Linked DNA regions of Arabidopsis thaliana. The gene in region 1 interacts genetically with each later gene. Each region holds a gene or a part of one and is shown on either strand. Other genes may lie near its edges.

Region 1 (5,304 bases):
GTTTATTTATATATAAATAAATACTCATCAAAGCTTATAAATAAATTTCGACTATCACTGATGAATTATAAGTTTTGTTAGAAAACATAACGGAGTAGTTTTGTAATATATTTCTAAAAAATGTTCTAGACAAGGCAAGAAGCATGTAAGTAATGATAAAAATCACATGTATTTGGTTGGTTGGATTGCTTGGAAGTTAGAATTGAATCACGAAATTGCTAAAACTCGTGATTCGTAATAATTACAGGTCAACATATCGTGAGAAAGTTGAAAAAATGGAATATTTAATAGAGAGGATAGAATATGGATTCGTCCTAAACCACTCTTTGGTGTTATTCCTCACCAAACTTTCACAGAAAAGCCAAGAAAAGAAAGAATTTGATGCTTTCTTTTTAACTTTTTATCCCCAAGAAGTAACGTTTACAATTCATTGGATACAAAAAAAGAAATAAATCCCATAAAGGAAGAAAAAGAATCGTAATAATCCACAACCACAATGGTGGGTTTACCTTTTATGTGTCCCCAGTGGAAATCATATAGATAAAGAAAATAGTAGTTTTATTTCTATTTAAAAGACCCCAAGATTTACGCCTTATTAGGCAGAATTCATTCAATACTTTGAATACCTTATGATGGCCCATGTCTTTTGCTTTCTTTCAACTTTGATGAACATTCAACTAAATCATTGTTTTTCTACACTATTGCATGACAACTTTTTGTTTTTATATTGAATTTTCAGGCTTTCAGTTTTATTTTAGATGATTAATCACACAATCCAGATTTTTTTCATGGCACAGAACCGGAGTGGTCCAAGAAGGTTTCAAAAAATACTTAAGCATGCCTTGGACTACATCCTAATGAGATACAATTCATCAATCTTGTTGACGTCAGAGAACTGCATCTAAATCTGTCTGTTATTGGGCTTTTCTCAATGATAAACAATATCTGTATGTATGTTATTGGGCTTTCCTCAATAGTAAATAAATTCTGTATGTGTGTTATATAGGCTAAGCCATATGGCCAATGTGTACAGAGTGCACAAAAAAACATTGTAATATATACACAGGGCAGAGAATCTTACACTGAAAACATCGGCAACAACAAACACAAATGTGAAAAAAGGTAAACGCACCCATCTGTTTTGTTCGGTCACCTGAGTAGTTAACCTCAATTTCTCATCCGCTTCATTGTGTTTATGTTAATCCCCATTTCGATCAACAACCCATCTTGTAAGCCCAGACGTGTTTTTCTAGATATGCTGCCACTGCCTCTTTGATAGCCAGATTTGGAACGAGATTAGCCGGGTCGATTTTTTCACGAGTTATAGGATCAAACTTCCCCACCTATCAAGTGGTGTAAACGATCAAACCTTAACAGGAATGAGGAATATTTTTTATAGAGATTAAGGCTACAAGAAAAGAGCGATGATAATGCAAACCTTCTTGAGATGTTCAAGGATTGCTGCTCTTTCATATGTAACCCCACTTGGAGAAATTACAGGATCTCGGAAAATCTCAAGAGTTATATTGCAACATAAATAATCTGGCACCTGAAAAGAAAAACCAGAAATGTATTTGACCTCAAATATAAATGAACGATGGGTCTTAAAAGCTTTTAAAGAAAATTTAATGCACCTCAGTTGGTTTATCTTCTTCTGCAGCTTTCTTAAACACTCGTTCAAGAGCTTTCAAACGCTCAGTATGGGCAGTATATGCTTCGTCTGAGGACTCTTCTGTTCGAGACATATCTAAAGCACGTTGTTGATTAAGAGCAGCCTCACAAGTTTCCCTAACACAAACATGAATAGTTCCATAAAGCCACAAAAGCACAGTTCCAAGTCGAATGATAGCACTGGATTAAGAAAGTTACAGAACCTACTTCAAACTATTCAGTTCCCATGACCGCATTGCAGAAACCAGTTCCCACTCCATGTATTTTGCTTTAGAAAGCTCTTCCCATATTTCTTCTACCATATATCCTGTTGGATTCGAGCATCTTCCAAGATCTAAAGCCTATATGAAACGTAGCTACATGAAGTTAACAGGAAACAGGTATCAAACCAAAATTTGTTTGCAGTATTTGATGGCATAAACAAACCAACCCATCTCTAGTGATTTTTCTAACTAAAACAAGTGTCCACAGTATCCACTTAGACATCTTTCAAAAGGAAAAAGATGGAGATTCAAGTGGTGCCTCACATCTTCATTAAGATGCTTGGAAACTACACTACTTAGGTCTCAACGTTACGACTTAAACAATCATGTCCACTGATAAATTTTACAGAAAAAAGCTTAGGACTAACAAAGATCCTTACCCTTTGCAATTCTTTGACTCCATTAGTAAATTCTTTCTTCTGCAATAATGCAAGTCCTAGCATGTAGTGTGCCTGCCACAGAACATAATTGTAAAATCCTCATATGATGGAGAAGAAAGGATCAAAGAAGGCCAAGAAAAGATAAAACAAAACAAAAAACTTGACATATTCCATACATAGCACACCAAGCAAAAGAATTCCATTTAGATATAATCAAAAGAGTCAAACCTTGACGGAATTGTGGACAAGCTGAATAGCTTTGCGACAATCCTCTTCAACCTTAGTCCAATCCCTAAATTTGATGCAAGCAAAGAAGCCAAACATGAACCATAAAGTATTTGGGCATTAGGATTGCCTAATCAGAAGTATGTATAAAATTTGCTTGACAGAACAATACTCACTTTCGCTTCATGTGGCAAAGTGCTCGATTGGTCCAATAAGCAGGAACATTTGGAGACAAAGCTATTGCCTACTCAATTACACAAAAAAAAAATGATAAGAAAAACCACTACAATTGAATAAGCCTGAAGTTTCTTGATGACTTATAACGATGAGCACATAAAAGATTCATAAATTCCATCAAATGTCTATTCTCGAATTGTACACTCCATCAAAACCTAATTTGGATGCAATTAAGTTCTGATTCACAAACGAATTGTCCAATTTCGAAATTATAATCAAGGGTTTATTACTCTACGCAGATCTCAATCAAAATCTCGGAAAACACAAAACCCTAACGATGAAATTGAGAGAAGGAGAGTGAGAACCATGTACCTCGGTATAAGCATCAATGGCAGCACCAAAACGTTCTTTCTTAAAGCAATTGTTTCCGTCTTCCTTTAACCGCTCCGCCATGGCGGAAGCCACGCCTGTAACCATATCTACGGCACCCCAGAAAACCAAGTCTTTATCCTTTCCAACACTCCTCTGTAACTTGTGCGACGGCGCGTCCCGGTGCGTTTCAGAAGAGAAGTAGCCGCGAAATTTCTCGATGAAAGGAGAGAGAAAAGTAAGCAAAAGGGAATTTTAAATGAATCGGTTATCGAAAGAGATTAGTCTCTTTACCGGGTCAGCTCGATGAGACTTGGATCATAATCCGGATCTTATAGTCATTCTTTTTGTTTACTACCATAAACCGGTCATTGGGTTAATTGTAAATTATTTATACAACTAGGATTAAACCCGCGGTTTCCCGTCGCGCGAAGGCTTTTATAAATTTTTTATTAAATAAATTAGTGTGTGTTATATTAAAAAATAGTAACATATATTTAGTTTTTTTAAAACTGGTATAAATAATGATTGGAATCTTTTATTAGTATGGAGACTATTTACTGATTAGAATCATGTATTTTATTGTGTTTAAAGTTGTGTATCAATTACTAAATGTGTATTTGATATAAGTAAAATGGTGACAAAAATATAATATAATGATAGATGGTGTAATTATTTTGTTGATTATAAGATCTTTAAAAACCAAAGTTGGTATGTTTTATCTTTTATTTTTGGCAAAACAAAGATAATAACATTTATGAGGAGACCTTTTTTCTAAATCATACAGAATATTTATACTAAAGAGTATTTTGAAGCTGTATTAATGATCCCATTACCCAAATTATATGATACAATAAAAGAATATACCCCCAAAAGAAAACAATGCAAAGTAAATCATCTTAACACCTAATTCTTCTTTCTAAAGATTGATTAGATTCACTATTCATGTTTTTCATCTCTTCATTGTCTTGTCCGTAGCAGCCGATCACCAATCGTTCTCAACTCGAACGTTCTCACAGCAAGGCCAACATCACGGATTGTAGTGTCTAGCACATAAGGAGTGCGTGCTCGCGGCGCTGAGAGATCGAACCATGGTAATGGAAGTAACGGATTTTGCTCTCAGCCTTGTGCTATGTCTTCCCTTGTAGATTCTGAGACATGTGTACGCCTATCGCGAATACATTCTCCGGCTGGACCGCGTATTTCCGATCCCGTCTTGGAACCTTCTTGACGTCTCTATATGCCAGTTTCTCAATTCCCCATTTTCTGAAACACAAAACCAAAATACCATTTAGATTAGTCCCTGAACTAAACCAAATCAATAACCGATATGTTCCCTCCTAAAAACAGAAAATATACAAACCAATTACAATTCAATATTTGGTACAAACAAAAGAAATAATCTTTACAACATTTCTCACTAATATCATGTGATGTTCAATAAAAGCAAAGATCGTGACCGACATAGGAGACTAATACAGAATGCACAAAGACTTTTACAGGCCAAGTGTTGACAGAATCAGATGCTTATTGATATTATATGTCACCTTCAAAAAACTTGTGACTAATATTCTAAGTCACTCAATAAACAACACATGGGCTTTGGTTAACGTTCAATCATTAAAATCAACAAAGTTATGAATGTTACCTGTAAGTTCTGGCCGGGCCATCACCGGAATAACAAACCTGACTACTCATAGGCATCAGTTCAATAGTAAACTGAAAATATTCCTCCAAAGATTCCATCACAGACGAAATCGTCTCTTTCACCGGAACATGTAAAAACTCATCAACATCAACGAAGAACATCCACTTCGTCATGAATACTTATGCAAACAATCATTCACTATCATGAATTGATTATGATAATAACCATCGAATCGTTCTTGATCTCAATTTGGTTTGTGATGAGAATGACTTTGATATTTATAGTGATGAAGGAGGCTAGGGTTGTTGGATCTAATATTTTCAAAAATATTCGAAAATATCTTGCAGGATAAGTTGCAAATCAAAGATTGGATCCTCACTAATGATTCGAATTTGGTTTAGTTCATAATGATTGGCTATATTTAGATAAGTGGTAAATATTGTTTAGTTGATTATGGTTAGTTTTAAATTTAAGAGAATAAATTTATAAGATTTTTTTCTAATTTATGGAATGTATTATCGTGTTATGGTAGTTAGAAGAATCGAATAAACTCGTCTATGCCGATTTTATA
Region 2 (6,324 bases), on another chromosome or scaffold:
AACTTAAGGCTGACATTAAACCTTACATAATAAGACTTGGATCCCCAAAAGTCCCAAAATGGAGAAGAAGAAGAAGAGAGATGAGGAAGAAACGAGAGGCTAAAGATGAAAATGAAGAAGAAGAAGAGGAGAAGAAGAAGAGACTAGAGTTGATGAAGGCAGCTGCGCAGGCTTGGCTCAGCCACTCCCAAACCTCAAAACATACTGTTTTAGAGTTCGATGCGCAGAGAAAGCATGCTTTTGTCAAAGGGAAGGCATCACGTTTCAAAACGGAAGCCTTGTCCGCAAAGCATCATCCGTCGTTTTTGGATTGGGAATTCGGACAGTCGCTGTGGGATCCCTACGAGATTCTTTCGGTCTCTAAGAAACTGGAACGCGAACTCACTTTAGAAGAACAAACCTTCTCTTCTTCAGATAATGATGGCCTCAAGAAGATGAAGAAGAAGAAAACTAGAGACAGCAGAAACAGCCTTAGGAGTTTGTTCACTCGTTCGTCTTCAAAGAGATTCTAACAAACTCATCATGTTACTACTTCAAACTTGTAAATTTTTCTCAAAAAGTGAAATCAATTATGAATGTCTTTTATTGGTCTATTCAAAAACTTTTATTGGTTTTTGAATGGTTTCTATGGATAGAATAACAAAGTTTTGTCAGTTGTAAACAGTTTAATGAAGCCGACCACCATGACTAATTGCAACTGCCATGCCGATGATTCGACCACGTGAAAATGTCACCTGATTGAGAGAGATGAGAGGGTAAATGTGAATTAAAACAGTACGTTGTTTCAAGGAAAGCTCTTCTCACAAACTCACATTAAGCCAAATACAGCTGAGAAATGGAGACCAAAAAGGCCTAAAGTGATGAAATCAATAAAAAAGACTCAACCATTCATTTGACCCGAGGAGCAGAACGACATAAACTAAACTGAAATAAGAAAGAAACCATCCATGTCTTAGATAGAGTTAACATAGTAACATCATCCCAACACAAAGCAAAGGAACAGACCATGTGACGCAGCACGAAACCAAACTAAGAGATCAGGTTTTATTTATAAAACATAATTATTCCTGATAGATAAGAGAGATAGAGAAGAGTTGCCAGAAACCAAAGAGCTCATCAAGCCTCCTTCTCCCCTGTGAGGAGATCCATTACCACGCCTTTGATGCTTCCATTGTTCTTCTTCAGCAGTCTCTTGTTCGTCACATCATCACAGAAGCCCTGCAAAATCACAATATTTTCAACATTCCAATCTGCAAAGTAAGATTTAATAAATTCACCAAGTGCAGACACACTTACCATCTCCTGAAGCTCCTCTAGGATTGGATCCCACTCGCTAACTCCACAAAGAGCATCAACAGACTGCTCCAGGTTGTACTCGTTATCCCTCAAGATCTCCTTGTTCAAATCTATCTCCTTGAAACCCATTTCCTCGAGCTCCTTGAGCATGGTTATCTCCACGTCATTCTTTTCTATATCCTCCTGAAGAGGAACTGGCACGTCTTTTGTAGTAGATGAAGAACCACCAGACAAGACCTCAACAGCAGGCATGCTTGGGAAGTCGACCATGTTAAATGAAGAAGATGAAGATGAAGGAGAATGACCGTGAGGGATAGCAGGATGAGCTTCACCAACCAAAAGGTTTTCTTTTTCCACGGCCTGTGTTTCACCAACTTCGCCCTCTAGATCAGTACCTTTCACGGTCCCAGGATTGACACTGGAGCTGCCAGGTTGAGCTGACTCATAATTCATAATCCCTAGAAATTCGCTTGGAAAATTCTCATCAAGGGAGGGGGAGGCATTAAGGTTCAGTCCATGAAACTCATTCACAACAGAATTCTTCAGAGATGCATCAACCTAACCATGCAAAAAGAAAAAATGTATCAAACACATATGATAGAAAGAGACAAAGAATTAAAGGACAGAAGCTGCACAAATCTAGTAAGTACATGTATCAACACCCAAACACGTTGCCCAAACTTAGCACCGTCAGAGGTAGCCATCCTCCAATAAGAAATGTATCGACCAGGTAACTCTGGTGCAACAAAATCAACTTTGACGTCAAGTTCACTATAGATAGGCACACCCTCCTTTGGAATCTGCCATGTGTAAAGAGAGAAAAAAACAGTTAGTATTATATAATCAAGCAGCTATAGTCACTTCGTGAAGAAAACAACCTAACTCAAGCCATCGAGTGTAAATTCAAACAACATAATTGCTCTGTTAGTGGTAAGAATCGAGCTAAAAGAGTGAAAACTAAGGAAATTGTTTCTAACCTGTAAATCAACTGACAAGGAGTTGCAGAACCTGTCCCCACCGATCCAGACAATCTGTGTGCCCTGTGGCCACACCAGCGAACCACTGTTCCTCATTTTCCAAATCTTAGTAAATGGGGCGGATGGAGCAACAACGGTTCCATCAATTACATTCACATCAAGGACAAACCGACTGTCTAGTTTAGGGCGAGTACACCTGAGAGGTGCACCTCCATTGGTTGCTCGTGGCACAGGGTGGCTCAACCAAGGATTAGGAAACTATACCAAAAAAAAAAGGGTAAGAATTCCTCATAGCTATCAGAGAAGACACATAGAATAAACAAGAAGAAAAGTAATTATAAACTTAGAAGAAGAGCAATACTTGGGTAAACGGTCCTCTAAAAGGATGCAGATGTTGAACGGATACAGGCTTATCCATTCTTGTGTAATCCCCCTCGTTACCCATCACCGAATAGCAGATGGTGCACAGATCATAGTCTTCTTTACTGCACAATATTCACAAGCGAAACATATAAGCACAATAAGTTCTAGCATGTTTATAGTTTCTAAAGTAGTAAGTAGAAGGCATCCTTACACTTTCGACTTAAATCTAGGCCCAGTAATTGGAAGAACTCCACATCCGTCACAACGGATGCCCTTATGGAATACACCCAATGAAGTCCAGTAATCACCATTGGTGCTCTTTTTGGAATGACAAACACGACGAGGATGCTTGTTGAGGTTAACTGGATTTGGACAGGAGTAATTCATGGTACTGCCACTAAAGGGACACTCGTTGAAATTAGCACCCAGTCCAGACGAGTTTGGTACATGACCAGAAGTCTTTGAATGAGCGCCAGTGGGTTCATTCAGATTAACAGGTTTCCTTCCGGTCTGGGTCCTCTCAGAGATATCCTTCTTTCCACCAGCGGAAGGAACATCCCTGCTCAGGGAAGCACCTGAAGAACCAGGCTTGGTAACAGGTGAGCAAGGACTACTTTCCTGAGGAATTGAGAGCTGCCCTAGCTTGGAAATGCAATCAAGCATCTCACCAACTACAGGACTAGAAGTTGAGGCCTTGGATGCAAGGTCCATGTACACCTTTGATATGGTATCACGCATCGGGTTAGGTACAGCCATCAGAACATCATTTATACCCTTCTGGATTTTGGAAACCGGGTTAGGCATACCCGCAGGTGTGGAACTCCCACTACTCTCTGGAGCAGCAGAGTTAGTGGACACGCCAGCGTTCACATTGATCTTTAAGAACTTAAGACGCTGATTAGTAACATCAAAGAGATCGTTGTCATCAACAAGGGCAACCACATCCCCATCCTCATCAGAGTAAGTCAGACTCAATTCAGCATCCGCAGAGAGGTTAAAGAGAGCAGCGATCTTTTCCTTAAGACCAGCCATTTCAAGATCAAGCTGTCCATTAGCTTTAACAGGCACCCTGAAACGCCTAAGCACACCTCCATAGCTCACCTACATAATCACAAACAAAATTAGTATCACTTCAATGAAAAAAATGAAAAAAAATTGTCGAAGAAATAGATTACGATTCTAATTACGATAACTTATAGTTTTAATCATTGTTCGGGTATAAGATTCAAGCAGATACTGCTAAGTATGTCTGGAAAATTTTCGAATTACACTTAAGATTATAATACAGAGACAGAGAGAGAGAGAGTCGATCCATAGCGAAATTCAAAAGGAAAGGACCGATTACAAGCAACAAAATCAACAGAAACGAGACGATCGCCACGAAAACCCAGAATCACCGACAATTACTGTGAGAAAACTGACGATTCGCAAATAAAGAAAGGAAGGTTGTATCTCTAACCTTGACGACGAGTGCGTTAGCAGTAGACTCCATCGGTAACGGAGATCAGATCAGCTGGAGAGAATTAAAAGGCAAGCGAGAAGAAACCCTAATTGAAGAAAAAGAGTATCTAGCGAGAAAAAGAGAGAATCGGGGAGAGATTTATCTTAGAAGAAGCGTACCCGTAATCCGCTTTTCTCGTAAACAACCAAGAATTTAGACGGTCGCGTTTTATACTATATATCATTACACAGAATATTTATTAAAATAATTAATTTAATGGGCCCTTTTGTTTATTTAATTAATTTCTGACTTAGCCAACAAGATTTTGACTTTTTTGGTTACTACTGGCTTATCCAGAAAGACAAATCAAACTAACATCCCTAAGTTAAAGCCAAAAATATCAAGAGATACGAGTACATATAACTAGATATTTTATTTTTCATACTAACATTTTGAAAATTGACCAATTCGAGTTCTTATAAAATACTACATCTTTTATGTTTTCTCCAATAAAATGATCAGATACTATTTTATTTTATTAAAACTTCAACTCTTATGCCGACCACAAAAAATAAAAAAACATTTTAAACTCTAATTTATGAAGTTTGAGAAACAAACACCACCAATTCCAAAATCCAAACTCTTAAAACTCTTATGTTTGCTACCTAACCTCATATAAATTTAGTAAATTTAATTAGATATTTTCTTATTATTACGTTTTGTGAATATAATTTATCATATGAACTTTTTCTGTACATTTTGGTGCGTTCTAATAACTTAGTAACATTGATATACAATTTTATAATATAATAGTCATTTGAGACATTCGACATTCGACATACAAAAAAAAAAATATGAGATTCTATATGGCTATATGCAAGTGAAAAGAATTAAAGTGTGACTTGAATTACTAGCATATCATGATGTGATTGTGTAGTTGATGACAAGAGAATATATGGAATAAATAATTGTTTGTACAATTAATTTAGACAAGTTTCAAAACGCATACATTGTATCAATATATCATATATTGTTTTTATATGTGATCATGACAATAAAATATTAGAATAATAGATATAAATATATATATTATACTAGAATTGATATTTCGAGTTATAGATAAATCTAATCATAAAATAAAAAAATTATATTAAATAGATAGGAATTTATCAAAATGAACATCAAAATCAACCAAAAAACATAATCATATTTTTTTAAGCAACTTTAAAAACAAAAATACTCATGAGTATTCATCTAGTGTATACAAAAGGCTACTACAGTAGTTATAATCATATTCAAACAAGTGACTGAAACATATAATAATAAACTCTCAAGACAAAGACTTTTTTTTTTTAATCTGCCAATACCTCCTCGGATAGGTCTCCTCTCAGCAATCTCCCAAGCTATGTGCCTACGAATTAGCTTCCTCAATCGCCATATCTCAAAATGCAAGTATCCTCAGCATGGCAGCTCTTACTACCTAAATAACAATAAGAGGCCAATCTTAGTTTCTATCACCAGTGAATCCATGACCACCGTTTCTCCCACTAGTACCCCTTTGCTGTTGGTATCCACCCTGCCTTTGCTGCCCCTGTCCCTTCTCTCTGTATCTTGGACCTTCTGTCTGAGAACTCTCTTTCGATTGTTCTCGACTACGTTCTCCATCATAAGTATGAGACCCAACAGGTTTGTATTCATAATGCAGATTTTGCTTCTGTCTATCTCTGTTTGAAGGTGGCCTCTGATGGTGATGGTGCATATTCTCTTGCGCCGGTAAACCCCAACCTCCTTGTGACTCCTGCCCTCTTCCAAACCGTCGACCCTGCCCTGTGTTCTTTTGGAACATACTATTCGGATTTTGCTCAACCTGGACCTCCTTATTGGTAGATCGGTTTTGCAACTGGGCTTGTGTATCAGCTGATGTCGTTTTTTGTTCTGTAGTAAACCCTTGATGCTCGTATCCAACAACATTTTTTTCCTGAGATCCATAAGGTTTGTCCCTTGTACTTTCACGACCACCATACTTACCTGTCCTATTAGCTGTATGCCACACATGATCTCCAGGGACACGACCTTCTTTTGAAGCAGCAGGCAAATCTGGTTGGCTAAACCCATGGCCAGAGTGCTGCGTATGAGCTTTATTGAAATCCCTCTTATTGCCTTTTTTAGGGTCACCATAGTTGCTTCCTCCATCCTTGTTGCTTCTTGAAGCATGCTGCCTGCCGTGCATGCTCATTCCTTGATCTT

What was found.
Region 2: of CHIP (region 1) and NBR1, changing one enhances a phenotype caused by changing the other (phenotypic enhancement), as found in Arabidopsis thaliana (one study listed by BioGRID).

The regions. Positions count from the first base shown.
Region 1 is NC_003074.8:2,357,109-2,362,412, forward strand, and holds CHIP (carboxyl terminus of HSC70-interacting protein), read right to left. Parts: upstream 3,442-5,304; 5' UTR 3,194-3,441; coding exon 3,089-3,193; intron 2,784-3,088; coding exon 2,716-2,783; intron 2,607-2,715; coding exon 2,543-2,606; intron 2,387-2,542; coding exon 2,315-2,386; intron 2,013-2,314; coding exon 1,879-2,012; intron 1,789-1,878; coding exon 1,635-1,788; intron 1,550-1,634; coding exon 1,439-1,549; intron 1,344-1,438; coding exon 1,215-1,343; 3' UTR 799-1,214; downstream 1-798. Other genes in the region: AT3G07380 (glycosyltransferase family protein (DUF23)), read right to left, coding at 4,216-4,351, 4,734-4,906. UniProt on the Arabidopsis thaliana protein: Has E3 ubiquitin-protein ligase activity and may target misfolded substrates towards proteasomal degradation. Regulates the activity of some serine/threonine-protein phosphatases by E3 ubiquitin-protein ligase activity.
Region 2 is NC_003075.7:12,738,995-12,745,318, reverse strand, and holds NBR1 (ubiquitin-associated (UBA)/TS-N domain-containing protein / octicosapeptide/Phox/Bemp1 (PB1) domain-containing protein), read right to left. Parts: upstream 4,288-6,324; 5' UTR 4,129-4,287; coding exon 4,096-4,128; intron 3,738-4,095; coding exon 2,848-3,737; intron 2,759-2,847; coding exon 2,635-2,758; intron 2,532-2,634; coding exon 2,274-2,531; intron 2,097-2,273; coding exon 1,947-2,096; intron 1,855-1,946; coding exon 1,297-1,854; intron 1,219-1,296; coding exon 1,117-1,218; 3' UTR 649-1,116; downstream 1-648. Other genes in the region: AT4G24700 (uncharacterized protein), read left to right, coding at 81-512; MOS1 (modifier of snc1), read right to left, coding at 5,582-6,324. UniProt on the Arabidopsis thaliana protein: Autophagic substrate degraded in the vacuole by non-selective autophagy. Requires ATG8 protein expression to be recognized as an autophagic substrate. Acts probably as a receptor for autophagosomal degradation of ubiquitinated proteins.